4 linked regions of the Arabidopsis thaliana genome follow. The protein of the gene in region 4 interacts with the protein of the main gene of each other region in a biochemical or structural test. Each region holds a gene or a part of one and is shown on either strand. Other genes may lie near its edges.

Evidence for each region.
Region 1: the proteins of RIC1 (region 4) and ROP1 form a complex in vitro, tested with the Arabidopsis thaliana proteins (one study listed by BioGRID).
Region 2: the proteins of RIC1 (region 4) and ARAC5 form a complex in vitro, tested with the Arabidopsis thaliana proteins (one study listed by BioGRID).
Region 3: the proteins of RIC1 (region 4) and ERH3 form a complex in vitro, tested with the Arabidopsis thaliana proteins (one study listed by BioGRID).

What each region holds. Positions count from the first base shown.
Region 1 is NC_003074.8:19,041,077-19,044,893, reverse strand, and holds ROP1 (RHO-related protein from plants 1), read right to left. Parts: upstream 2,037-3,817; 5' UTR 1,698-2,036; coding exon 1,599-1,697; intron 1,509-1,598; coding exon 1,421-1,508; intron 1,330-1,420; coding exon 1,220-1,329; intron 1,137-1,219; coding exon 1,073-1,136; intron 993-1,072; coding exon 862-992; intron 781-861; coding exon 679-780; 3' UTR 501-678; downstream 1-500. Other genes in the region: VPS35C (VPS35 homolog C), read left to right, coding at 47-260; AT3G51290 (pyridoxal-phosphate-dependent serine hydroxymethyltransferase, putative (DUF632)), read right to left, coding at 679-780, 862-992, 1,073-1,136, 1,220-1,329, 1,421-1,508, 2,478-3,231, 3,321-3,544. UniProt on the Arabidopsis thaliana protein: May be involved in cell polarity control during the actin-dependent tip growth of pollen tubes. May regulate callose synthase 1 (CALS1) activity through the interaction with UGT1.
Region 2 is NC_003070.9:28,469,945-28,478,302, forward strand, and holds ARAC5 (RAC-like GTP binding protein 5), read left to right. Parts: upstream 1-5,704; 5' UTR 5,705-6,019; coding exon 6,020-6,118; intron 6,119-6,486; coding exon 6,487-6,574; intron 6,575-6,661; coding exon 6,662-6,771; intron 6,772-6,883; coding exon 6,884-6,947; intron 6,948-7,029; coding exon 7,030-7,094; intron 7,095-7,172; coding exon 7,173-7,238; intron 7,239-7,334; coding exon 7,335-7,433; 3' UTR 7,434-7,858; downstream 7,859-8,358. Other genes in the region: LCR67 (low-molecular-weight cysteine-rich 67), read left to right, coding at 2,461-2,524, 2,632-2,810; VPS35B (VPS35 homolog B), read right to left, coding at 8,109-8,319. UniProt on the Arabidopsis thaliana protein: Involved in cell polarity control during the actin-dependent tip growth of root hairs, thus regulating root hair length and root hair initiation.
Region 3 is NC_003070.9:30,202,494-30,211,275, reverse strand, and holds ERH3 (P-loop containing nucleoside triphosphate hydrolases superfamily protein), read left to right. Parts: upstream 1-3,007; 5' UTR 3,008-3,225; coding exon 3,226-3,353; intron 3,354-3,584; coding exon 3,585-4,056; intron 4,057-4,387; coding exon 4,388-4,585; intron 4,586-4,754; coding exon 4,755-4,999; intron 5,000-5,074; coding exon 5,075-5,233; intron 5,234-5,318; coding exon 5,319-5,406; intron 5,407-5,495; coding exon 5,496-5,777; 3' UTR 5,778-5,962; downstream 5,963-8,782. Other genes in the region: AT1G80360 (Pyridoxal phosphate (PLP)-dependent transferases superfamily protein), read left to right, coding at 633-695, 800-847, 1,006-1,134, 1,277-1,336, 1,428-1,584, 1,664-1,829, 1,905-2,013, 2,088-2,540. UniProt on the Arabidopsis thaliana protein: Severs microtubules in vitro in an ATP-dependent manner. Required for oligomerization of functional KTN80-KTN1 complexes that catalyze microtubule severing. This activity may promote rapid reorganization of cellular microtubule arrays.
Region 4 is NC_003071.7:14,171,469-14,179,094, reverse strand, and holds RIC1 (ROP-interactive CRIB motif-containing protein 1), read left to right. Parts: upstream 1-3,129; 5' UTR 3,130-3,342; intron 3,343-3,443; 5' UTR 3,444-3,533; coding exon 3,534-3,591; intron 3,592-3,697; coding exon 3,698-3,798; intron 3,799-3,887; coding exon 3,888-3,966; intron 3,967-4,068; coding exon 4,069-4,505; 3' UTR 4,506-4,714; coding exon of another isoform or gene 4,715-4,947; 3' UTR 4,948-4,951; downstream 4,952-7,626. Other genes in the region: GLTP1 (glycolipid transfer protein 1), read left to right, coding at 1,145-1,262, 1,472-1,527, 1,777-1,907, 2,002-2,137, 2,234-2,365, 2,461-2,496; PRPL28 (Ribosomal L28 family), read right to left, coding at 4,715-4,947, 5,277-5,475; AT2G33435 (RNA-binding (RRM/RBD/RNP motifs) family protein), read right to left, coding at 5,869-6,463, 6,557-6,636, 6,730-6,819, 6,939-7,049, 7,271-7,360, 7,474-7,515. UniProt on the Arabidopsis thaliana protein: Functions as a downstream effector of Rho-related GTP binding proteins of the 'Rho of Plants' (ROPs) family. Participates in the propagation of ROP GTPase signals in specific cellular responses. Required for cortical microtubule organization.

The sequences.
Region 1 (3,817 bases), on a different chromosome or scaffold from region 4:
CCAGTTGTCACTGCTTTCTCTTAATGGTTTTACGAGTCAAATGCAGGTATCTCTACTTCCTGGAGAAAGGAAACCAACAAGTAACAGGCGATACAATCAAGAGCTTAGCTGAATTAATCAAAAGCGAGACAAAGAAGGTTGAGTCAGGCGCAGAGCCATTCATAAATAGTACTCTACGTTACATCGAGTTTCAGAGACAGCAAGAAGATGGTGGCATGAATGAGAAATACGAGAAAATCAAAATGGAATGGTTTGAATGAATTTATTTCTTGCATTCTGTTAGGCAAATCATCAATAATCAATGGCTTCTCGTCTTGTTGCAGAAGCATGAAGAGTAATCTTGAGAAATAAAACTTGTATCATTACTTTTCATTTCCTAGTTACACTCTCTACCAATAAACATGTTTGCAAAGTTTAAAACAGTAACATACAAAATATGGTCAGCTGAAGAAATGGTGGGAATGAAAACTGATTCAAAACATGTGGTGTTTGTGTGGAATTATGCATAGGACTGAATCGTAGAAGCAAAAGAAACGTTGATTCCGACAAACTCCATTAATATTAAGAACAAAAAGGACCAGTCAAACTTGGGTGTCTGTCCATTAACACATTGATTCATTCATTGTTAGAAGATTAATATACCAAAACCAAATACATAAAAACAGAGATTTCCAATCATCATAGAATGGAGCATGCCTTCTGCGCTTTGCTCTTCTTCTTCTTCTGCTTTGGCGGTTGCAACACCACTCGGATGGCTGCGTCAAACACCGCCTTCACATTCTGCACTCTCACATCATCAACATTAGCATTAACATTAACATTAGAAATCTGCAACAAGGGTATATATACTAATCTACGTACCTCTTGAGTTTTGGAACTGCATTCGATGTAAGTAGGTGCTCCTATTTGCTTCCTCAGCTCCTCTCCCTGAGCAGTAGTAATCGGAACAGCACCAGGATGGTCGATAAAGAACTGTTTATCATCTCGAAGATCTGGAGAGCAAAAACACAAACTCAGTCACAACTAATAAAGTAAAAGGAGCGAGATCAGGAAAAAACAATGGAAAACTCACCAAGCTTTGTTCCAACAAGGACGATGGGGACACCAGGCGCGTAATGTTTCAACTCCGGGATCCACTGCAAACACAATTTGTGACAAGAGTTCAAAAAATGTGACGAAAACTCAATAATATGAAACAAGATTGATGGATTTTTAAAACCTTTTTGGAGACGTTTTCATAACTGGCTTTACTGATAAGAGAGAAGGCCAAAATGAAAACATCTGCTCCACGGTAACTCAGTGGTCTTAATCTATTGTAATCCTCTTGCCCTGTTTATTCATACCCAAATTTTCAAAATCTTCAGATCCAAAAACCATATTCCAAATTTCAAACACCAAGATATATAGGAAAATGAAAAACCTGCAGTGTCCCACAATCCAAGATTCACAGTGCTTCCATTAACCACAACATTGGCACTGAAATTATCGAAAACGGTAGGCACATAATCCTGTATATCCACAAAAGAAACAAGAAACATGAGATATGTTGTTGTTGTGGTAATGAAACAAGAAACATGAAAGAATAATTGGGACATAACCGTAGGGAAAGTGTTGCTTGTGTAAGAAATCAACAAACAAGTTTTTCCGACAGCTCCATCACCAACCGTCACGCACTTTACGAACCTCGAAGCGCTCATTTCCCCTCAAAGTTTATTAATTTCAGGGAAATTTATAAAAAAAAAGATCTCAAAGATTTAGCCTTTGGAATTGGAGACTCTTGATATTTCTATTGATCGACCATCTGGGCATTGCGGATTCGAAACGATTGGAGTTTGTCCCAGAGATTAGAAACCCTATTACCCAAAAAGATAGAGGGGAAACAAAAAAAATGAAAACTGGAAGATGGCACAAAAACCGAAAAAAAACAAAGAGTTAGTTAGAGTTAGCTTTGGCCGGGAAAAATGGCGTTGAAACGTTCCGCTAACCAAACTTGTCTTTCTATTTCCGATTATTGTGGATTTCCTCTTTTAATAGCTCCCAACTAATCAAAATTACCAATCGATTGTGTGTTTATTTATGGGAAATCAAATTAGGCACTTGTCTTTTTCTGCCGCTCAAACGAATCATCTCTCTTTTCTTCTGTTACGTACACATCACGAGTGTTTGATTATCATTAAACTTGCTTACTTCTTTAAGCAATCCCCTTAACTACCTCACTAACTAACTAACTAACACTTCTCCAATGTTAATAATACCTTGGTAGGTCACCTTCCAATGATTTGACTTGGCTAAGAAGTAGTTGAATTGATGAAGTTTCAAGCAGTGATTCAATGAAAAGTCATTTAACCAATTTCATTTCGAAAACAGCATAAACTCAACCTAACATTCAACCAAAAGATTAGCTTGGATCAAGCAAAAACAGAGAGCAAATGGTAAAACAATTTGTCTTTCTCTCTTTAAGGAAGCAACCTCTTAACCTCCTCTTGATCCTCACCGATGCTCTTAGCTTGGTTGTACACAGACTCAAAGGCTTGCATACACACACTTGAAAACCCAACCATTGCCTGAAAGACATGAGGGAAACCCATCTGCAAGTTATTTAGAGTCATGGCTCTAGTCACACTCACTGACTTCTCATGCTTACTTTTCTCTTCTTCTGCTTTTCCTTTTAGCATCTCAACCTTTACTCTCTTCTCTATCACCGGGTTCTTTTTCCTACTCTCAGGTACCGAGTATGGACTATACTTGCTCTCAAGCGCTCTCAGCGAAGCCGATTTCTTCTCGAAATCTTTTAACATGGATTCTGTTCTCTTCTTTTGCTTATGCTCGTCGGCTTGTTGAGCCACAATTCCATGGACTGCTGTCAGAAAGCTTTTGATCCCTTCAGATGCTACTTTATCAGGGATCCTGTCAATAGCTAAATGCCATTCCTCGCAGAAGCTGTAGATCTTTGACTCGTAGCTACTCCTAACAAGTGGATTCTTGCTGAACTGGAACAGACTTAACCTGAGCCAGCCCGTGAGAGATTGTATGTAGTCACGTTGGGCCTTGACCAAGTTGCAGAAAGAGTGATGCCATTGTTGGACCTCGAGCTCAAGCTGAAGAGTTGATTGTCGGTGAAGCTCAGATGTTGGTTCAGTGGAGGGGATGGTGTTAAGGTACTTAAGCTGCTGCACAATATGGGTTTGAACCTGGTGGCTCTCGTACATACTCCTCCACATACACATTAGCCTACATTACATTCATACAAGAACCTTGTTCACATTGACCAACATAAGATACTTTAGGTTAATGAAGCAATGGGAATGCACAAAACAAACCCTTTAACAAGCTCGACAAGCTGAGGGTAAAGCTCGGTCTCTCTGAGCTTGATGATCTCGTTAGAGGCGCTTTGGATGGCTTGTGAAGATACTGAGAGCTGAGATTCTAACTTCTCGACGTCTTTCTTAGCCTTCTCAGTCTTGACATACTCAGCTCTCTTCATCTCAAGCCTCCTCACTTGCTCCACTTTCTTCTCATGATCCATCTTTATGCTCTCTGCATACTGCAACAAAACCCACATTCAAAAAACAACAAACACTCACTCACTACTTGGCAAGATATTTGTGCCAGTGTACATAACACATTATTCATCAGAATTAAGTACACACGTGGGTCTCTTACACTATCTGCTCACGCTTGGACCCACCACAAGCCTTTAATGCCCACATGAATCAACCAAATTCCCAAAAACAAAACATTTATCCATATTTGGATGAAATCTAAGCAAGCAATTTCAATATTCAAACTTCAAACTGAATATAAACAACATTTTCAA
Region 2 (8,358 bases), on a different chromosome or scaffold from region 4:
CCACATCTTCATCAAGTATTTTCTTTAAAATGTAGGGGAAAAAAAAATCTAGTTCTTTTGTTCATAGTCAACCTGGACCAGTAGGTCGTTGGGCCTTGGGTCTTCAGTCACGTCGGCAATCAACATTCACTTACCCATTTGAAACATTGGATCAGCGTGACCAATGCCAACCCATTAATCTAAATGGTTTAAACAATCAAGCGTGCAAGGATAAATGCATTGGACTTGAGAGAACAAGATATGGAATTTGAAATGTTGCCTTACCAGTTAACAAGTGTCTCTGTTTCCTCCCAAGTTAATGTACCAAAACTCTTTGGTGCTTAATTGTGGGGGCTTTTATAATATTGGGTACATTTTGGGCCATAAATTAGAGAAAGAGCACATTATGATTGAGTTTATGAAGATAGGCAGTTTTTGGGAAATAAATTGACGAAATTGCCCCTGCGATTTCACTCATTCTCCTAAATTGTTTTTGCAGAATCTTTTCCTGAATTGTTTTTGCAGAGCCTCATATTGGATCGATTCCTAACTTGTTTCAATGGATGATGTATTAAGTACAGAGATTGATTATCCTATTTCTCTACTTAATCAATGTTTCTTTCTACAAGACAATATATACACAAAAGATGTATTTACGGAAACAAAATCGATAGAGACAAAAATTAGAAAATCTGTTAATAACATTTCATCACCATCCAATTCAGATAAACCCCAATAAAATCAGTTAAAAGCTTTTTGATGGAAGAAAGCTAACCCCTAAGAAAATATTATATAACGAACCCAAATATACTAATCTTAAATAATTGGAATCGATTAAAATTTTCAATTATTTCTTATCCCTCTTTGAAATTGAAGAAAGAGAGGATGAAATTAATTCAGATCAAACAATTCAAATTCAAAAAAGCTATGGAGGATTACCACCTGCATCGTCGAGGAAGAAGATTGGCCAGGCATAGATCTGAATTTTGTAAGGTGATGGAGAAGCAATGGACATCAATGGTGAGTTTAGAGGCAATAGATTCCATGCCATTAGAGAAAGAGAAAGAGAGAGAAATAATCGCACATTTCTGAGATCGATTGATATTGATGAATTCTCCTCAATTAGATTGAAGGTACAAGGAGAAGAAACTCAATTAGATTGAAGGATAAAACAGTCATCCATATAATATAAAAGTATCTAAATTTGTAAGGAACATGAGATGTTCCTATATCTACAAAAGCACAGACTTTAATATGCTAATCCCATAATTGATCCCTTAATTGTGTGTGTATTCAAAATAAGCCCACTTCTTATAGGCAATGTAACACTTGACTCAAAAGCCAAAGCAGCCACTTAAATAGTTAAGTTACATTAAACAGAGAAGCAGCCTTCCCTAAGTTAAGCATTCTTAATCTAACCAAATATAATTCATATCTAACAATGTTAACTTCTCTTTCTATTCTTAATAATAACCTAACAAATTAACTTGGGTGGTGTACTATTCTGAGTTTGTTACTTGTCTTGTCCATGCACGGCTAGTGCTGGTGCTGTCTTAGAAGGGCTTGAAGGTACGTGGCTGTTGATACAGAAAATGTTTAAAGAGGAGACAAGTCTTTGTCAAAGTTTGCGGATGACGGCTATGAAATCGAAAACGAATTTTCTTTCAGTTTTTCTTAAAAATTTTTTTTTACCTTAAAACAATAAGTTAAATAAATAAAATTAAATCGGATTTATCTTCTCGGTCGTCCGAAAATGGCAGAGTTGAATCCAAGAAGTTTTGTGTGGGAGTTGAGGTGGGAACTACGAAATTAAATATAATCTATGCGCTATTTTACAAATTTGTTAGTCCAAATCCACTATGTTGCTAATATTTAATTACATGTTTAGATCCTAATTAGTTTGATGATTATATAATCAATACCAAAGAAAGTGAAGAAATAACCTAATTTATCAACTTGCCAGCTAGTGAAGTAGCTCCTTGGAGGTTTCAGTAAAAAATAATAAAAGTCGATAAAAAAATACTACCCAACTTCATGGTTTATTATTAAATGCGATGTGGTCGAGACAAAGTACCACTTGAGTACCGTACTAGGATATGCTCAACATATTTAAAATTTTGACCAAGTCAAATTAACCAGCCAGAGATGTTAACAGTTAATGTAGTAGCCACCGGTCCAATGAAATTGCAAATGAACAAACGTAGCACCTGAAAACTCGCCACCGATCACGATCAGCACACTTTTTATGAATTGGTCAAGATATTATCTTCTATCATTAGATGAATACTTGCATGTTAGTATTCTCTACTATCAGACGGTGTGTATTTTTTTATTTATAGGGTTGAACGCTTTATTGTCCCATGCACACGTAAAAGTCGACCTCCCCATCATTTTTTCACTATAAATAGTGGTTGATTTCAAGCAGATTTCTTCAAACTAAAACATATATACATCGAAAACAACTAAGTATAAACAATAGTCATGGCTAAGTCTGCTACCATCGTTACTCTTTTCTTCGCTGCTCTTGTTTTCTTTGCTGCTCTTGGTGAGTAATGATGTTATCGTATACCATATGCATGGAAAATTGAGTTTTAACCTTTTTTCTTTCATTTTATTGTGATAATTAACTGTGAGAGATATATCTATATGCAGAAGCACCGATGGTGGTGGAAGCACAGAAGTTGTGCGAGAGGCCAAGTGGGACATGGTCCGGAGTTTGCGGAAACAGTAACGCGTGCAAGAATCAGTGCATTAACCTTGAGAAAGCACGACATGGATCTTGCAACTATGTCTTCCCAGCTCACAAATGTATCTGCTACTTCCCATGTTAATCTACCAAGAGCTCTTAATGCTTAATTATAAAGTGTGTATTTCTATTAAATAAGTATGTGTCACTCTATGAGAGGTCTTATGACATGTACCAGATATGTTATGTTGCTTTGTTTTAATAAGATAAACTTTTACGTACGACGTATACTACTGTTTCTTCTTGTCCATATTTGTCTGCAAAACTCCAACACAACACAAACGATTATTTGAAAATAGAGAATCGGAGGAATATGTTATAGTATTTCATAAAAACTGCTTATAATAAAGAGTATTCAGCTTATACATAAAAGAGAGCTAGCTACATAACACAATCTCCGACTTAATTATATACCAAAGAGATTTACCTAGCTAATTCAACTTTAAAAAACGAGGTCTTGTGTTGACATCTTTGAATTTTTATTTATTGTACTTAGGCTCGGCTACAATGTAAAAAACAGGCGGTTTCGGAGAAGAATACCAAATGTATGTTTCCACCAAAATTATGTCAATTTACAAGACTGATATCTAGAATGTTCATGCTGATCAGCTAGTTATGTGGTTATTCAAAAAATATCTATAGATATCCCAATTCCAAGATTTGTAAATTATGTTAATATAAACAAAACTGTTACTTCTATGGAGTTTGAACCAGCGTGGCAAAAATTTCCTGCACCCATATTAATATTAAATTATCTCAAGCTAGTATCTGATGTTAGATTTGTACTGTGTATCACACTGTACGTATGCTTGCTTACTTATTACTCTATTACAACAGATATTTGTGTGTTTTCATTGTTAAATAATGTAACAGAAATTTGTGGGTTTGACTGTTCTTTTTACTGAATTTCTCACTACTTGAAGTCTAACTAGAATAACATGTGACTGTTTTATAATTTATAGTTCGAGGTTGATTCAGAAAAGTCGTAAAAATCTCTCATAAATGTATTACCGTATGGCTCTATATTGCATATATGGGCCCAATGTCTCAAGTCTCAACCATGTTTTAAATTTTCAGTACTAAGCAATGCATATGTTTTTGTTAGACACAATTTTTCTTCTTTTTTTGATAAAATGTGAGTTTTTTTTTTTTTTTGAAATGTGATTAATTACCAAAATGGAAACATTGTTACTTGCAAAAATCTTTGGGACAAATAGCTTCTAAGACAATTTGTTTTTTAAAAAGCCTCAGAAACTAATAAACGCAAAGATTACAAATAGAGAACTATTACGAGCTAGGCATGGGAAAACCATTGAGAGAGCAGTCACCGCGGCCTTTGCGGTACCTTCGAGCCAGGAGAGTGTCTCTAATTAATGTGCTCCTGTCGATTTGCTTAAAGACAGAGGCAAATCTGTTATGGAGACTGTTTGTACTTGTCAAACTATGGGCCATCAGTCGACCGCAGCCATTGTTAGACACAATTAACTATGTGCGCCATCTATTATGGAGACTGTTTCCACTTGTCAAACTTTAGCACTATGCCTTTAAAGCTTTAACAAATGTTGAATGACTGAGAAACCGACAAACTTTAGTCTACTACATCTTATCTATATACTAATTACGCAACAAAAAAATAAAAAAAAATTGGATAATGTTTTAAAACATAACATATTTTACTCTTCTTCTATGACAGATGAATTACTACATTCCAAAATAAACAAGTAAAAACTCTTGTTTCGTGGATAAGCATGCACTAGGCAGTCAATTCATTTGGAGTCTCACCAAACCAAGTACCCCATGGGCCCTGGTGGCAAAAATGGTCACTAATCATGATATTTCAAGAGTTGTCATAATGGGCCTTAATTCGCTACTGGGCCTCAAGTGTGAGCCTTCGTGTTATTGTCTTTTCTAGCTTCCAGTTGTGTTAGTGTGTTTGTGCCTTTGTGTTATGGCCCTTATGGCACTCCATATTGTCACTTGAATCACTAATGTAAAGTTTATTCATTTTCAAATAAGTCGCTTTAAATAGAAGCACTAGATTTCATGATCAATCATTATCAAATTTCTTATAAAAAAAATCATAAAGCCTGAAATTCATTTCATGTAAGAATCAGAATGAATGGGTAAAGGTGTTTTTGGTTGAGAGTAGGTAGAAGCGTAGAGCTAACTCTAACCCCTTCTTTAGTTTGGTATGATTGAATATTAGTTCATATAAATATAATTGGTGAAATTTTGATGTGTCCTTGGTCCTTTAGAAGCAAACTGTAATAATGCGACCGTATGATTTGGATAAATCTAATGTGGGACAATTCATGATGTGTCGTATGCTCATTGGTAGGTTGAAAGAGAGTTGAGCACGTTCGTGTAAGATTTTTCGATTCTTATGTCGTAAAGATGAAGAAAACTCTTTAAAATTACAACTATAAAAACAAAGACAAAGACACTCTTGACAAAATTAAACCATATTAATTTGATAAGGGATTTGAGAAAAAGGAATGAAATGGTGCCGTAACACTAAGTCGCACGTTCTTGACGAGAGTCGTCCCAATCCAATGATTAATATTTGGCAATTTCATGCCCTCCCTCCCCATAGTTTGGTCGTTTATTATGCTTTACTCTTAGTTTTTTTTCTTAAAAATTATAATCTTTATTTATTTGCTGTCTTTTTTTTTTATAATTGTCAATTAGGTTAACAACTATGGTCAAATTAGAAAACATTAGTTTTTGTTAAAAGAAAATTAAAAAAAAAATCCATGTTTATTAGTGAATTAGGTTTTTATTTTGGTGGTAGTTTAGCTAATCTCATAAAACAGATAGTAATTTCATAATGTAAAAAGATATTTCTACTATACAGAAAAGGAAAAGAAAAAAAAAAACTCATTACAACGGATAATTTCTCAATTTGTATTCAAATTCAAAATTAAAAGTGCTCAAAATTAGTATTATTTAAAAGAAATACTAAAGTGGGGTGAGTGTAAATGATAAGGTGTTGTTTGGTGTAGCAAATAGCTGGCATAAGGTTGGTATTGAAAAGCTCATCTCAGAATCATCAACGGCCCAAAACACATTGCAAATTAAAGAAAAAGCAAAGATTTTCCTCATTCTTTTGCCATTATTATCTCTCATCGATTTGGCTTGCTACTTTTGAATTTACCCGTGTTCTACTACGATTCGGGATTAGGGTTTTTTCTTGAGTTAGAAAAGATTGTTTCTTGATTCTTGGGAATGGCTGGGATTTGAGGAAGAAGAAGTGCAAAAGGGTTCTTTTTTTGAGTTTGTGAATTTGCTGCGGAGATGAGTGCTTCGAGGTTTATAAAGTGTGTCACCGTCGGCGATGGTGCCGTCGGAAAAACTTGTATGCTGATTTCTTACACAAGCAACACTTTCCCTACGGTAAAGTTTCTTCCTTTTGCTCTCAGTAGTGATCTTGAAGCATTCTTTGAAAATGGGTTTTTGGAGATTATTCATCTTTGTTCTTGAATGTGATTGATTAGCTGGTAAAAATTGTAAAAATCAATTCTTGACATGTTTCTTCAGAACTTTTATTGATGCTTCCATGGATTTAGCTTCTTTGTTATTTATCTTTACCTATGAGCATTGTTCTTCTTTCATTTTGGACTTCATGTTCAATTTGTATGTATTAGTCAAATTTGCAGATATGAGGATCTATAATCTTTTCCATTATTGTGTGTGTTAATGATGATCCACTATTGTGTGTGTTTTAGTTTAACAAACTCTATGACTTGGTTACTGAATATCAGGACTATGTTCCAACTGTTTTCGACAACTTCAGTGCTAATGTGGTTGTAGATGGGAACACGGTGAATCTTGGATTGTGGGATACAGCTGGTAAATAATCCTTTTGAAACTCATCAAATCTGGTTTTCTTGTTTTTTTGTGGTTTCATTTTGACTGATAATTCTTGGGTTTGTGCAGGTCAAGAAGACTATAACAGGTTAAGACCGTTGAGTTACCGTGGTGCCGATGTCTTCATTCTTGCATTCTCGCTTATTAGCAAAGCTAGCTACGAGAATGTAGCCAAGAAGGTTAGCTTTTTGTTGATCTAACGTCTTTCATTTGATAGTAATAACTTTCGTTAAGCTGATTTTGAATTGGTTCCTTCATTTGCTTTTTTTTTTTTTTTTTTCTTTATTTCAGTGGATTCCTGAGCTTAGGCATTATGCCCCTGGTGTTCCTATAATCCTCGTTGGAACGAAACTCGGTATTGACTCTCTTCTTGTCTAAAAACTCTTTCCTTATAATAAGAAAGAGATGAATAATAATTCAAGTTTTGGAATTTGCAGATCTTCGAGATGACAAGCAATTCTTCATAGACCATCCTGGTGCAGTGCCTATTACTACAAACCAGGTACATAACTCCACAATTCTTTAAAACAATAGTGTTTTTTGCTTTGCGAGTTCTTGATCTTTAGTTGTTTGTCTGCAGGGAGAGGAACTAAAGAAACTGATAGGATCACCAATCTACATTGAATGTAGTTCAAAGACTCAGCAGGTATACTACACACATAAATAATATCTCACATGTCTTTTTGTTTGGGATTTTTGTATTTGGTAAGACAGTGAAAATGTTGATTGTTGGGTTTTGCAGAATGTGAAAGCAGTCTTTGACGCAGCCATAAAAGTGGTGCTTCAGCCACCGAAACAGAAGAAGAAGAAAAAGAACAAGAACCGCTGCGTGTTCTTGTGATCGAACATCTCTTAAAACGAAAAAAGGTTTAGGTAACAAAAGAAGCTGAAGGAAAACGAACACCTGCAACATTGTATAGTTGTTGAATCCGGCTTGTTTCGGTCTTTACTCTTCTTTTTGCTGGTGAATCTAATGAGTGAACTGAGGCCAAGAGGAGGATTCTGGGTAAGAGAAGGGGATGTGTTCTTTTCTTGGTGTGTTGTTGTTGTTGTTGTACTTTTGCTATGTAGACTAATCTCTTAATACTATGTTGTCTTTGTTTTTGCTGTTGGGGTCCATTTTGTATTTTCTTTAACAGAAATCTTAATTAATTTTTTAGTGACTTTTTTTAAGCTTCCGTTGATCTTATGGTCTTGTATTGGTATGTAATTAGATTCAGACAACGAAGAACATCTTGAGATAGATCTCTATATACAATAAGATTAGAGACATCGTTGAATTGAGGCATAGTTTCAAAGAATGGTTTACAGAAACGAGGATTCTATACACACAGGTGAGGTGAGTATAAGGAACAAAGAAAATAACAATTACAAAGGTTTTCTCCATTTTGTAATAAGACCGAAAAGAAAACAAACATGTGTAGTGTACACTTCCTTTTCAGAGTTTCCAACATTTCTTTGGAAAATACAGAGAATTCCTCTCGGGATTTGATGAGGCTTGTGTCTCGGATTTAAGTCACAGCTTGATAGGGTCATATTTCTCACCCATCAAACCACCTTTCTGTTTTATGAACTTAATGTAACGCAATGTACTTGTAAAGAAGGGATCTGAGTGGATTGTCGTGTTACCGTTGTCGCTTTGCATCTCATTGTTGATCAATTCTATGAGGCTCTGTATATCAGATGGAGTGATATGTGGATTCCCTTTCTCAAAGAAGTAAATGTACCTGTTGTATATGAAAAAAACATTTTTAGTATTGAGATGC
Region 3 (8,782 bases), on a different chromosome or scaffold from region 4:
ATTTATTAGGGAAATGATAAACGCAATCAAGAAAAATAATTCTACGTTTGAAACGTGACGTTTGATTCTTTTTCTCAGGGCAAAGGCAAAGCAAATCCTCTGGTTGATCAGTAACATGTGGCAGAGGAAGAGGAATCAGACACTGCAAGGAACACACACGAGAAACGTCTCTCTCTTAGTTCTGGTAAAGTTTTGACCTCTCTCTCTCTCTTTTTCTATCAGAATCTGTAGAGTAGTAATGGATTTTTAAAGCTGGTTGATAATAATTTTTGGATCTAAGTAACAAAGGAAAGGCGTTACTCTTTTTTTGTTCTTTTCAAATTGGCGTAAAGTAAAGAAACTACTTTTTATTTATTTTCTCTTAAATAGATTAGATTATGATTACACCAAAAATAAAAAAACATGAAGTAAAAAACAAGGGTAGGTGAAGAAGAAGAAGAGGACAAAGAACAGGCGTGCTTAAGCAACGCTCATCTCTGTTTTAGGTTTTTGTCAACGATCCCTTTTGCATTAGGTTGAGAATTAATTCTGAATTTCTTGCATACTAGCCAGTGTGTATATATAATCAAACAATTCGATCCTAATTGGAAAATTTCTCCATCAGGTTCAGGTCTCGATCGAATTGATTTGAAATGGGTTCGTTTGGGATGCTTTCGAGGAGAACGTTGGGCACTGATATGCCCGTCATGGCTCAGGTCAAACCTCGTACTTCTCCACTTCCATTTTCATTTGATTTGATTTGATTGGTCTCTTGTCTTTTTTTCTTTAAAGTGAGAAATTGTTGGGGTTTTGCGTGCAGATTCGGAGTTTGATGGCGGAATTGACGAACCCCATGTCTCTCGCCCAGGTTTTGCCCTCTCTAGAAATGTGTGTTTTATTTATAATCTAATCTAGTTTAGTTCACAAAAGACTTGGGCTTTCGTGAGTGGTCACCTTCTTTGGCTATACTTTGTCTGGAGTTTTGTTTTGTCTGCAGGCTGATTCTTTTGCTCATGTGCTTTTCAGGGAGTGGTGCATTGGCAGCCTCCTCAAAAGGCCTTAGAGAAGGTCAAGGAGCTTGTCTGGGATCCTATCATTAGTTCTTATGGCCCCGATGAAGGTCTTCCCGAGTTGAGACAGGCTCTTCTCAAAAAGGTAATCGCACCGTACTGAACCATTCTTCTAGCTAGCTCTGGCAACCTTTCTTGTATCCAATAAAGTGACCACTTTTGCTGCTCTTGAATCCAATTCCGTGACTGAGCTTGTTTTATTTTTGATTCCTTGTCTTGTTCTGAAGCTGCGTGAAGAAAACAAGCTAACCAATTCACAAGTGATGGTTACTGCAGGTGCCAATCAGGTATAACCTGTCTTTGTTTACTCTTTTGATTGCTCTTCCTTCTGTTTTCTTCTACTCTCATACTCTGTTTCTGTTTTTGCATCTAATGTAGGCGTTTGTGAACCTTGTTATTACATTATGTGATGCTGGTGATTCGGTTGTCATGTTTGAGCCATACTACTTCAACTCCTACATGGCCTTTCAGATGACAGGAGTCACCAACATAATTGTTGGTCCTGGCCAGTCAGACACTCTCTATCCTGACGCTGGTACCTCCTTGATTCTGTATCACGTTTTTCATGACTTAACATAGCTTTAGTTGTGACCAGTGAATCATTTTTGTTCCAGACTGGTTAGAGAGGACACTGTCTGAGTCTAAACCGACTCCGAAAGTTGTAACTGTTGTGAATCCTGGTAACCCAAGTGGCACCTATGTCCCTGAACCGCTGCTTAAGAGGATTGCTCAAATATGCAAAGATGCAGGGTGCTGGCTGATTGTAGATAACACATACGAGTGAGTTTCTCATTTCCTTAATTCCTATGATGTCCAAATTGAATGTAGTAATAAGCGGGGATTTGAAAATCGCAGGTATTTCATGTATGACGGTTTAAAACATTGTTGCGTTGAGGGAGACCACATTGTTAATGTCTTCTCTTTCTCTAAAACCTATGGCATGATGGGTTGGAGGCTTGGATATGTGAGTGCTCGATTCAATTCTATTCCAAACTAAACACTGGGATTGTCTTATAAAAAGGTTTGATGGACCTGCAGATAGCTTACTCAGAGAGATTAGATGGGTTTGCAACAGAGCTTGTGAAAATTCAGGACAACATCCCAATCTGTGCTGCCATAATCTCGCAGCGACTGGCTGTATACGCATTAGAGGAAGGTTCTGGGTGGATAACGGAACGGGTAAAGAGTCTAGTGAAGAACAGGGATATTGTGAAAGAGGCGCTTGAGCCGCTGGGGAAGGAGAACGTTAAGGGAGGAGAAGGAGCGATATACCTGTGGGCAAAACTGCCAGAGGGACACAGAGATGATTTCAAGGTGGTGCGGTGGCTGGCTCACCGCCATGGTGTGGTGGTGATCCCGGGGTGTGCAAGTGGTAGCCCCGGGTATCTCCGGGTTTCCTTTGGAGGGTTGCAGGAGGTTGAAATGAGAGCTGCAGCGGCGAGGCTGAGGAAAGGAATAGAGGAGCTGCTTCACCATGGAATGGTGGAGTGAGACGTTGTTTAAAGAAGGGTCAAAAGATGGTTACTTTGCGTTTGGTTGAAGCTATATAGTTGTTTTAAAAAGAAATAAAAGAGTGTTTGTTTATTCAATAATCAATATAGCTGATTCTTCTTTACAAAGTCATTGTATTTGGGATGTTGTTACCAATGGTTGAATCCTTAACCCCTTTGGTGTATGTATATACTCTTTACTTATTCAAATGAATAATCCAGCAATGAATGCAAAAGCAAAAACTGGATCAGCTTTATTCGTTATGAGTCTTTCTCTAAATTCAAAAATTTAAATTCGAGTCTTATGATTGACGTTATGACTTGTGAGAAATTGATAATCTGGCCTTTTATTTGAAATTTTAATTTCTGAACCCAGAGGATAAATAAAGTTAAAATCGATGATGATTTTAGGCTTTATTGGTTTGAAAGTGGGCCGTAGATGGGCCCGAATCTAAAATATTTGAATCGAACCCGAATAAAGAAAGAGAGGTTGGATCATAACTACCATCGACGTGGCTTCCATCTTCTTCTACTTTGTCTTCCATCTTCGCCGACGAGTCACATCTCCGAAATCCGGAGCCGGAGAGGGAGAAAGAAGGAGAATTTGGGTTCTCCGAGATCGAAGCTCTTGCCTCGGAACCCTTGATTTTGTTTTGGAATAGGCTATTTTTTTAGTAAAAGAGGAAATGGTGGGAAGTAGTAATTCGTTAGCGGGTCTACAAGACCACTTGAAATTAGCGAGAGAATATGCACTAGAAGGATCCTATGACACATCTGTCATCTTCTTCGATGGCGCCATTGCTCAGATCAACAAGTAAGTAGCTCCTCTTATCTCTCCAGTCTTGAATCTAGCTTTTTTGTCACCCCTTTTGGCAATTTCTTCAAGCCCTAAGCTACTTTAATAGTTTCGTGTTGGATTGTATTGAAATGGGCTTAGAAAAATCTAGAATTTTGCAATGTTCACCGTGCAATGTCTGTGTAGACAGAGATAGAACACTCTTATGTGCTGCGTTAGTGGTTCTGAAGCTATGGTATACTGTTTTAGGCATTTAAACACCCTTGACGATCCTTTGGCCCGGACCAAATGGATGAACGTTAAAAAGGCCATAATGGAAGAGACGGAAGTTGTGAAGCAATTGGATGCAGAGAGGAGAGCATTTAAAGAAGCTCCCACTGGGCGTCGCGCTGCTTCTCCACCTATCAATACCAAATCATCCTTTGTTTTTCAGCCCTTGGATGAGTATCCAACTTCATCCGGTGGTGGTCCTATGGATGATCCTGATGTGTGGAGGCCTCCTACCCGTGATGTTACTAGTCGAAGACCCGCCAGGGCTGGTCAAACTGGTACTAGAAAATCACCTCAAGATGGGGCTTGGGCTCGTGGCCCTACTACACGGACCGGTCCAGCTTCCCGTGGTGGCAGAGGTGGGGCTACTAGTAAGTCAACTGCAGGTGCCCGCTCTTCCACTGCCGGAAAGAAGGGAGCTGCCTCAAAATCTAACAAGGCTGAGTCTATGGTAAGTTATATGTTTTTGCCTTTTGGTATTGCACAATAGAGAAGGTTAAACTTGAAAATTTTCCATCAATCAATATTGACTATGGCATTTCCATTTCCATTACTTTACTTTGGTGATAGACAGGATGTCATGAAACTTCGAAGTTGTTATGTTATAGTAGGACTGATGTATCAAAGATCATGATTTCTGTTACGTTTATGAATGTCTAATTCTGAAATCTGTATTTAGAAACTTTAGAGTCATGGCCATGTTTCCTGTGGTTATGTTGAGTCGGTAGTTTCCACCTATTTTCAACAACTAATAAAACTTTCGGCTTCCTCGTTGATATCAGAATGGTGATGCTGAAGATGGGAAGTCAAAAAGGGGATTGTATGAGGGACCTGATGAGGACCTGGCTGCTATGCTTGAAAGGGATGTGTTGGACTCAACTCCTGGTGTCCGTTGGGATGATGTTGCAGGTTTGTCTGAAGCCAAAAGGCTGCTTGAGGAGGCAGTTGTCCTTCCTTTATGGATGCCCGAATACTTTCAGGTACTTTGATTCTGCTCCATACGCTGTGAAATTTGGATTCTATATTACTATTATTAGACATGGAGCAATCATACAGAATAACAGTTTCAATTCATCATTTCCGTAGACTTTATATTTGATCTTCCAGGTATAGAGGATACTTAATTTGATTGTTTTTGTTTCCCTTCAGGGTATTCGAAGACCATGGAAAGGAGTTCTCATGTTTGGTCCTCCTGGGACAGGTAAAACCCTGTTGGCAAAAGCTGTTGCAACTGAGTGTGGTACCACCTTCTTCAATGTATCTTCTGCTACATTAGCTTCAAAATGGCGTGGAGAGAGTGAGCGCATGGTCAGATGCCTGTTTGATCTGGCTAGGGCATATGCTCCAAGCACAATTTTTATTGATGAGATCGACTCTCTCTGCAATTCTCGGGGGTAAATTTTCCTGACGATACTGAGATTTCGATACTGAAATGAAAAGTATTTGTAATTGGTGGAGGTGTGATGCAGGGGTTCTGGAGAGCATGAATCATCAAGAAGGGTGAAATCGGAACTCCTAGTTCAAGTAGATGGAGTGAGCAATACAGCGACAAATGAAGATGGTAGTCGCAAAATAGTAATGGTATTGGCAGCTACCAACTTCCCGTGGGACATAGATGAAGCTCTCAGGTTTAAATATTCTTTGAGTTAATGCCGTCTTTAGACTTGCTCTAATATAATGAAATTGCTGATTCTGGAGCTCACGTTGGTGCAGGAGGAGGTTGGAAAAACGTATATATATCCCACTTCCAGATTTTGAAAGTCGTAAGGCTCTTATCAATATCAATCTGAGAACAGTTGAGGTTAGTTGTGGATACATTGTTACAACACTCGCAAATCTCTCTACTGGTCCAACGCAATCAATTTAGCAATGAACATTGTCACTTTTCAGGTGGCGAGTGATGTTAACATTGAAGATGTGGCCCGGAGAACGGAAGGGTACAGTGGAGACGATCTGACTAACGTGTGCAGGGACGCATCAATGAACGGGATGCGGCGTAAGATAGCGGGGAAAACGAGAGATGAGATAAAGAACATGTCGAAAGACGATATATCAAATGATCCAGTGGCAATGTGTGATTTCGAAGAGGCCATTAGGAAAGTGCAACCGAGTGTGTCTTCCTCTGATATCGAGAAACACGAGAAGTGGCTCTCTGAGTTTGGATCTGCTTAATTAAACCCACTTTTTTTAATTTAGTGTCAAAAGATGTGTGCCTTTTCTTGTGTGTTGTTGTTTATTGTATCATTATTATTATTTGCCAGTCATTTAACATATTCTTATGTTTCTATATTCCAAACTTGTAAACCTCTACGAAAAAAGAAAAGGATTATATGATTTTCTTCGGTTTTTTGGCTTCAGACTTAGTGTTCATAATTTCTTTACTGTCTTAGAAGAAAAAAACCAGCAAAGAATCACCTTGGTCTTTGTATCTCCAATACGTTGCAATCATTTTGAAAGTATTTGTATATTTTGTAAATGATAGGGATTGAAACATCATCCTATCGTTGACCAAAAATTTCACTGCGTGCTATATAAAATACTATATATGTTACCCTTTAACTGATGAAAATGTAAAGAGACAAGGCAGCACCGTTTATCATCAGACCAGTTTCGAGAGTGTTCCTGCATCGTTGGGCTCCCTCCTCAATTTTGTCTACGTGATTATATATCATATCGTCTACAAACAAAATAAATACAATTCTATCATATGAATATGTGATCATCGATGATCGATCAATATATGTTTTCGAGGTGACGTATATAGTATATTTCCGTAGAGACGGCGAAGAACATGATATCTCTGCATGCCTCCAATCAAATCTTTACACTTCATCCTTCTTCGTTACTTGTTCAGTTGTTCCTTTCTAATCCCGACAACCCTTAATTTGTATTTCTATATTAGATCGAAATATCTCATTTGTGATAAATAAAATAAAAAAAATCAAAGAAAGCTATAGAGAAGCTGCGTGCATGCATGGGTTGGCGATGTTTGGCTTGTTATGTTTGGCTTGTTATGTGGCATTATCTGTATGTATATTACCCTAAATCACATCTACGACATTTCCCTCGATCTTCAAAATATGCCAGCAATCTTCATGTTTCCTCATATCTCTTAACATTGGAAAATGTCTTTTGACCTCTTTTGATGTATTTTAAATTACTTCGAGCTCATCTATATTACAAATCATTCATGGTGAATTATTGTCCAGCCAATAGAATAGAAATCTGAATATAATGTGTACCACATCTTTTATGTAATTTATACGATATTCTTTTTCCTGAGAATGATCAAATAACAACATGCATGAATTGCTGCCAGAAAACGTCAGATTGATCAGTTATCACTACAATTATCAATTAACTAGTAAATAGTATCAAAATGTACGTAGTGCCCATCTATAGCTAGCTAAGGAGGACTCCGGATGTAGAGAAAAGCTAAAATGTGACTTGCTAGAGTTGTATTATATTGAATTTTCTAAACTAATAGTATCTTTTTTACAGATAATAATTTCCGGAAAACCTATTAGATGTATAGATATAACAATAAGCATCGATACCAACCTTTTACTTCCAAAAAAAAATAAAAAAAAAATGCCAAGATGAGATAATTTTGTCAATTTCAATTAGTGGGAAAATAACAATTGTCGTGTTATTTTTGAACCAACGCATCTCAGTGAATGATTTCCCAGTTCTTAAGATTTTAGGACATACTTTCCCAGTAACATCTAATCCGTTTGGGCATAAACAAGACAATTTGTAGTTATGTACATTTCTTAGTGATGTGTGTTGAAAAGATATGAATCAATGAGGTCCGACATATTTTGTCAATACGTTAGTGGTGTTTCAAAATAAATTTTTAGTATATATATTAAAATAAGACCAAAGGATAGGCTTTAGTGGTGTTTCAGGTATAGTTTTAATAATCAATTCAAAATAAGTCGAAAGGATATGTAAGATAGGCGTTATTTCAACGTGGATCATTATCAACCATGTCAAAAACGCATTTCAACTCCTAGATGTGTTGTTAGTTATATATGTTCCAAATGGAATCGACCCAACAGAAAAAGAGAAAAAAACGTAAAAGGTTATGCGATTCCAGGGACGTCTCATATATATATATATTCCGATGAAATATAAATATAATTATCGTGGTCTGTGACAATAAATATGGAAATAGATGTGGAAATCATGATCATGTGAAGAAGAAGAAGAACACGTGCAGATGAACTGCAAATGATAATAATGTGCATGTCCATGAGTTATGTACTTATGTGTATTATCTACGTGTTTTCCATACATACATATATAAATCTTATATTACTTTATGGTTTTGTCGTAAAAGTTACGTAGCATCAATAATTGTGATTCGTTGCCATAAACAGACAACTACTTGTAACGGTATAAGGCTTGGCTCTCATGATAAAATGATAACCCTTTTTTTCGTCGGAGACAGACAAACGCATAAATCACTAATTCTAAACCGAGATGATTGTCGATTTGTTTGCCATATGCATAACTAGAATCTTCAGTTAATATTAATTTTTGGTGTTTTCGATCGAATAAAAAAAAATAAACATTGCAATATTTCGAAATTTGTCGTCTTTCTTTTTATAACACTAGCAAGTGAGAGGCTGAGAGCCAAGTGGAACGTTAAAAGACAACATTAGATATATATTATATATTGCTAAATCTGTATTATTTCTTTTTAACATACGCAACTTTTGATTGGAAATCGTAAGTCGAAGGAAGGGCCTCGATTTATGACGTACGCTTCGTGCCAAACAATTCCTCTTTAGTTGAGGCCGGGGAAGACGAGTTTGTTGTTAGTGAGCGATGCCATGGCATCAATGAACTCCCAAAGGCCATATGTTCTGTTAAAGGCTATTTTAGTTTTTAATTTTGTTCTGATTAACTCAACCACATGTTAAATCAGATATCATGTTTAACGATATTAGTTTTTAAACAAAATGATTATCATAAAACGAAATTTATGATGAAACATATATAATCTTTATCTTGTTTAAGTATGTAATTCTTGTATGTTTGTATACGCCTTGCAAATCAAAAAACTAGTTGCTGTTTTTGGCATTGTGTTTACGAAATATTTATTAATATTTTAAATTAATTAAATAAATGTTCTTATTTCTCAACAGGAAACAATATGTATTTTCTTTCTT
Region 4 (7,626 bases):
CTCGGCTTGTTAAGCTTTATTGTGATAGTCAATTACTCGTTTATATTTCTACTAATCCAGGATATTTCTACTAATCCAGGTTATTACAATTTCACAAAATATTATCAAAGTGAACTATCATTTTATTTGAGTTACGGTCTTAATTAGATGAAAACAAACCAACCCCTAGAATCTATGGATAATGAACTAACATGCTAAAGTTTTGACCAAGCGATTGGAAAATCAACAAACGAAATGGAAACTATTATGTGGCAATACTCGAGTACTATAGACCCAACTGACCCGACATAATCTCTTCACTTTTTATTTTGTTATCTAAAAAAATTCGGTATAAAGCCTTGTTTGGTTTCAAATTTTATCCACTTGAGAATCTCATATATCAAGATGAAACACCTACAACAACAAATGTAACTTCATATGTCAGGACCGGTCCGCAGGACAAGCATGTAATAAAACTGTGTGTTTTCTACATTTTCTATGAAATGGGTGTAATTGAAAGATACTAAATGTTAGGGCTTTTCAGAAACTTCCGTTACGTTTTAGGCGTTTAACACAATTATTATTTTCTAAAACGAGAGCCGTTTAAAGAGAAAGAGAAATTTCTAACTCCAGAGAGCGAAGAACACAATCCCAGAGTAGCAGAATCTGATCCATCCCACCTTTTTCAATTCTCAGGCAAAGGTACGATCTTTCTCCTTCCCCGTTAGAGATCAGCCTTAGATTCGTCATTCTCGTCCATTGAATCAATAGATCTCGAATAATTGTCTTGTTTTATTGTTTCTTCTCACGCTGTTTTGATGCTCTTGCTTGATTGGTGGATCCAATTGAAATTAGATCTCTGTATCGATTCGGTTGATGCCATTTTTATGATTCTTGTTCTGGATTTCCACTGTAATGGAGCTGATTTAAATAGTTCTATATCTGCATGTGTAGAGAGATTGTTGGCTGTTTCAATTTTCCTTATGGAGCTGACTCATTTTTACAAAGTGACTTTCATGTTTGATTCAATTCATTACCTTTTTGCTTGAGTTAATGTGTTTCTCAGTGTTGTTCATGTTGTTTCTCAGTTTTGGGTTTGTTTAATGTTGATTATCTTCATTCTTCAGTGTTTGATCTCATATTCAGATAAGTCAAACTTGAAAAAATGGAAGGGACTGTGTTCACGCCTTGTTTGGAAGGAATGAAGCATGTCAAATCTGATCAAGGCGAGATGCTTACTAAGCCATTTTTAGAGCTTTGCAAGACCATCTTGCCTGTTATAGGTAATAAAGGGAGAAGCTTTTTCTAATTGTTTCTTTGTCTGTCTTAATACTTTTAATGAGGTTATTGACATTTGTTATTGTGATTGTTCCTTGTTCTTCAAAACTTCGAAGTTCACGTATAGCTTGTGATTGTTCATTTTTCCTATGTAACACAAATGTTGTGTTTCCTACATGATGACTTCATTTTTCTGTGGTTATCTATTTTCCAGATAAATTTGGAGCTGCTATGACTCTCGTGAAATCTGACATTGGTGGCAACATAACGGTAAAAAATGCATTGTCTGCCCCTTTGATAATCGAATAGCACAAATCTATTTTACATTCACAGTACAAACTACTGACAAAAATGCATTGTCTGCCCCTTTTCTCGCTCTTCTTAGATTGTAATGTGTACCTCTGATGGCGGAGAATAGGCTAGTGAAAATGTCCTGTAGACTGTAGTAGTGATATGACCTCTCTGTATTGGATTATTGTCTTCTTACAATATAACTTTATTGGTCCGTCTCTTGTGTAGAGGTTGGAGAAGAACTACTTATCTGATCCCGACAAGTTCAAGTACTTGTACACCTTTGTTCAAGTCGAAATTGAGTCTAAGATAGCAAAAGGATCGTCTAGCTGTACAAACGGTCTTCTCTGGTTAACCAGGTAAACGATGACAACATGTCAACAATACACACCTTTATTTCGAAGAGAGCAGCTTCTCAAAACCATATATATCACCTATGAGTGAATCTTTCAGAGCAATGGATTTCTTAGTGGAGCTGTTCCGAAACTTGGTAGCACATCAAGACTGGTCAATGCCACAAGCTTGTGCTGACTCATACCAAAAAACACTCAAGAAATGGCACGGATGGCTCGCCAGCTCTACCTTCTCTGTATGTACTCACTAGTGCTTCTCTGTGTAATCAGCATATTCTGCAAACCAATCTCATTTTGATTTCCTGAGACACGGTAAACTTTGTTTTTATCAGATGGCTTTAAAGCTAGCTCCGGACAGGAAGAAGTTCATGGATGTCATATCTGGTTCTGGTAACATCCAAGCCGACATGGAAAGGTTTTGTGCTGAGTTTGGTCCGTTTCTTCATGATAATCATAAGTTTCTGGTAAACAAAGACTTTAAAAACTTTTGAGTCTTTACACTTTCTTCAATTTCATCACACAGGCTTTGATTATTTTGTTCTTGTTTTCTTTTTGGCAGGCTAGCGTCGGTATGGATGACATGAAAGCTTCTTAAGTCATCATATGATTATCGCCGGTATCAAATCTTCTTTGCCGGAATCTTTGTCTGTTTTAACTTTTCTCCTTCCAATTATAGAACCTCCAAAAAGAAACAGAATAATGTGTTGGTTTCTATCTGAATGTTCACTTTATATTACAAGTTATAACATACGAATCAATCTTATCAACTCTTCTTGTTAATGTTTGTTATGAAAACTTGAATCTTTCTTTTCATAATCTAAGAAATTTATTTTCAAAATATTTCACATAACATAATAATGTTTAACTTGTTAAAAAATAATGTAAAGTCTTTAAGATAGTAAATCTCATGCTTCAAAGTTCAAACCATTTTGCTTACTATTGCAAAATCTCTCAATTATTATCTTAGTATTCAGATATCACATTTTTCAGTATTTGCAATCTATGCAATTTCTCTAAATAATACTTTATACTATCTTAGATTTCATTAGAGTATGTTTATTAGTAAAATAAGAAATTGGTGTGGTCGTGTCTCCTTCCATTCGACCCGGAAAATCCTCTTGACAACTTGTTTCCCAAAGGAGGGTTCCCTTTGATAATAGCTCTACGTTGCCTCCATTACCAATCAACAATCTAATTATAAAATTATCTGTTAATTACAACTATGAAAATATTTCTTTCTTTTCTAAATTTTTTTATCCTCTGTTAAAACAACAACAAAACTTAGTGCTCTTCCTCTTCTTCTTTTTGGTCTGTTGATCTTTAACCAATAACTCCTCGGAGATCTCTCGATCCTTCTCTCTCTCCCTCCCTCCCTCTCTCTCTCTCTTCAAAACATTTCAACATTTTTTTTTCTCGTCAAGAGAAAATCCATGCGTTCAAGGTTTAAGTCTTCAGATTTCGTTATATTCTCTGTTGTTTTTTTGTTTGTGCCTTACAACTTTTTTCTTGATTTGTTCTTCGTTTTCTTTTTCTGCATGTTAGGTTTACGGTAACGATCGTCAAATCTTGAACCACAAAGGTTGTATCCGGCGTGTGGATACACATTAGCCGGAACCAACCCTTTATAGACCAATGGCGACGACAATGAAGGGTCTTCTTAAGGGCCTTCGTTACATTACTCAGATTTTTGGTGAGTCTCATTCATTTTCCCCATAAACATGAAAAAAATGAAAAATCATTTGTGTTTCTTGTGTCAAAAGTCAAATTACATGGTGGATGTAATTATTCTATTGCAGATGAAGAGAAAGAGCAGGAGATGCAGATAGGATTTCCGACCGATGTAAAGCATGTTGCCCACATTGGCTCCGACGGTCCAACCAACACCACACCAAGCTGGGTAAGATCATACGTACATTTATACGTATTTTCATACATGTCACACGTATCTGTGCTCATTATTGTTTTTTTATGGGACAAAAACTGCAGATGAATGACTTTAAAACTCAAGAACATGAGAAAGGTCAAGTCGTTTCCAGGGGAAATTCCAACAAATACAACCCGCAAGGTTAGTTATTTTTGCAAAGTGTGTTTTTCCTTTTCCCTTAAAGTGTTAAGCTTTGAGGAACAAATCTGGATTGGTTCGAGGAATTGATGTGTATCTCAATAGGGACGAACCAACGTGGAGCCGGGCTAAAAGAGTTACTGCCTTCGAACACAAACGAGAAACCGAAACAGAAAACAAGGCGGAAACCCGGAGGAGCAGCTTCTCCAAATCATAACGGGTCTCCGCCTAGAAAAAGTAGCGGAAATGCTGCATCATCAGATGAACCATCAAAGCATTCAAGACATAACCGAAGCGCACACGGGTCAACAGACTCATCGAATGATCAAGAACCATCAGTTCGCAGAAGGCGTGGTGGTATCCCGGCTCCAGACACAGAAGTTCCTAATCAAATACCTGATGGTTCAGCTCCTCCACGGAAGGCTACATCGCGTCCTAGGAAACTAAAAGGATCATCAGCAGGAGGAGAAGGTTCGATTAAGAAGTCTTCAAAAGGAAAACCCGAGAATTCAGTTGATACAACCTGTAACGATATTATCTGAGAAACATAAACAAAACCATGAAATGTATTATTTGAGCCACCTGCAAGTGAGAGTTTGTTTTCGTTTCTCTTTAAAGTCTTTTCTTGACAGTGTCTGATACAACAACTCAGAGATTCCATTGATACTTACCAAAATCTAGAAAGGAAATGTACGAGTACTGCAAAAGGAGAAGCAAGAAATGTATATAATAAACTTTGCGATCATCATATCTATTTCTTGCGAAGATCAATGCCGGCTTTCTTGGCAACAGCGTCGAGTCCGTTCTTCTCAATGGTCTTCAAAGCCTTAGTTGATAAACGAAGTTTGACAAAACGTTTGCCAGCTTCCCACCAAACTCTCTTGTATTGTAAGTTGACGAATTGCAACTTCTTGGTCTTGTGGTTAGAGAATGAAACTTTGTTTGCTCTGTTTGCTTTCTTCCCAGTAAAAGGGCAGATTCTACCTGACATTTTGGAAAACAAAAACACAGTTTCAAGAAAAAAGGAGCAAATTGCCCAATGCTCAGAATCATATAAATGTGGTCAATTTTGGAGAATTTTTTTAACATAACATCAAATTCAAAGGAAAAGTTTAATACGAGAAATTATGCTACGGGTTTTAAATACACTGCTCATTTTCATATCTAAAAGCAAAGACATAGTTCCAGACAATTCAACACAAGCTTGCTAACTCAGAGATTCGAAATTCGACATGAATAAAACGAAAGCAAGATAAATTTAGTACGCCAATGCATTCGACTAAACCCTAAGAGAAAGGGAAAAGGGGAATTACGTGCGACGATTGGCTGAATCCCGGGGAACGAAGGAAGGGAGATACGGTTGATGACGTCACTGGGAGTATATGAGATTCTTAAGCCGCTGAGCTGGGAGGTGAGGAATCCAAGCTCCTTTGAAGTCACGGTTGACTTGGTCATGGACTTGGCTGATGAGGTCATTCGTAGCCAAGCGCCTTGTGTCGCCATTGTCGTCATTTTTGGTTGCTGTTACTTCTGCTTCGAAGGAGGATTTGGATAAAGAAGGAGATTGGGTTCATTTTATTTATTATTTTGTAGAAAATGAAAGACGCTTTCTCATTCAGAAGGTTACGTTCTCTTTTAACACAACAATTTTTCAGTAAGCAAACCGGTCCATATAGCCACCAACACAATAGTATGGTTTCATCTTTCCCTTCTTGGATTCTCTAATACATAAAAGTAACGAGACACAGGTGGTGATGAATAATCCAACCTGATCAATCCCAACGATTACAAAGAGATTTTTGAAGGGTTTTTGATTGTAGATGCTATGTATCTCTGAACTCGGTTTGAACCGGTTATGTGGTAAAGATGAGAAGAATCACAGAGTCTCACTTGTTGTGGGATTATTTACCCACTTGGGAACCGGATTTGGTAAAGCTCTTTAGAAACATATTCTGCTTTCACAATCCGGTTATCATATAGCCTTCCGTGTAAAGAATGGGCTGCATCACATGTCGCTTCTGGTCTTCTGTACTCAATGAAGATACAACCCGTCTCAAATACATCCTCGGGGTCTTCTTCTTGTTCTTCTTCTATCTTGTCGCCAGCATCCCATCTTGTCTTCACGGTACGCACTGATGCTACTTCTTGTGGATTCTCTGCCTCGGCCTGCGCACTTTCTTCAACAATCTTTTCACAATGCTCTTGTTCAGTGGAGTGTAGATCTTCATTTTCTTGAGTGCTTGTTTCAGCAGCAGTATCCGAGCACGGTTCACATAACTTGTCTTCACCTGTCAAACTGTCTGGCATGACAACCTCTGCAAGATCTACATTGTCTGCAATATCTTCCGCTTTCTCGGATCCTTCATCTTTCTCCTCGATCACTGACACATTCATTTCTTTAGAATCAGTTGATTCTAAGTTCAACAATGGATTTGTTTCAGAAACAGTGATATCTTTGCTCTTGTGTTCCAAGATGTTTATCGACTTAATAACCCCAAACCTGCATCATGACAAGACCCAGAGGCCTATTTTCTTAATTTACTAGCTTTTAAAAGCTCAATGGACTCATGGGAAGATGATCTCAGAGCTTAACCTGGCACATTCTAACCGTACATCCTCCAAAATTTCTTTCACTTCTTGCTCGGAAAACGACGTGAGATCTTCTGGGTCAACCTGTCAAACAAGAAAGAATGGAATGTTAATATAGCCTCACATAGTTTATTTGGGAAAGATTCACAAGAAAAAGGATACACCAATTATGCTTACCACATTTTTTAGCTTTAGAATATTCTTAGGCTTGCCAAGAAGTGGTTTTGCATGGCTAGGTATCCCATAGAATGGTGGATTCTCATTCACCTGCAACACATATTACGTACACACACCACTCTCACAAGTAACTAAAGGAATTTCTGTTCAATGTCACCCATACAAACACAACATGAACTAACGAAAGCAAAGTTGGGTCACTGAATTACCGCTACGGATGATGCATCAGGAAATGCACAAACGGCTGTTATTACACTGCCACCTAACCTCATACCATTTAGACCAGCACAAGCTTTGAGGGTAACAGATCCATCAGTGTACTGAAATATAGAGATTTAAAAAGAGTTAGGGCTGGTTAATATGAATATACTTGGAACTACAGTCACATTCATGGTTACTCTGTAAAAGTTACAAGGTAATAACACCTTCCCATGCTACCCGGAAAATGAAAAATTAAAGATATGAAACAATCACAAGAACTACATCGAGATGGCAGACTAAGATGGGGGTATCTTGGCCACAAATAAAAGTACATTCTAACCTCTAGGAAAGCGCATCGCTGATTGAGATCATTGTTGCTCACGAACCGGTATGCTTTCAAAGGTCCAAAGACGCTGACAATCTCCATAAGCTGGAAAAACGTTAAAGAGGAATCAGACAATCCTAGAAGTTGAAACGATAGAAATGGGGACAATAGAAGATTGAACGTGTCAAATGTTTTCAAAGAATTACAGTTCAGCATACCATTTCAGATGAAATAGCTTTTGAAAATCCGCCAATGAAGATCTGCAACAAGTACACTAGGCTCAATATCAAGCTTGACAGAAAAAGAAATTAGTATAGCAAGCAAATACAGTGAAGCTTTCAACATTATCAACCACAAAGATGCCGTAGCTG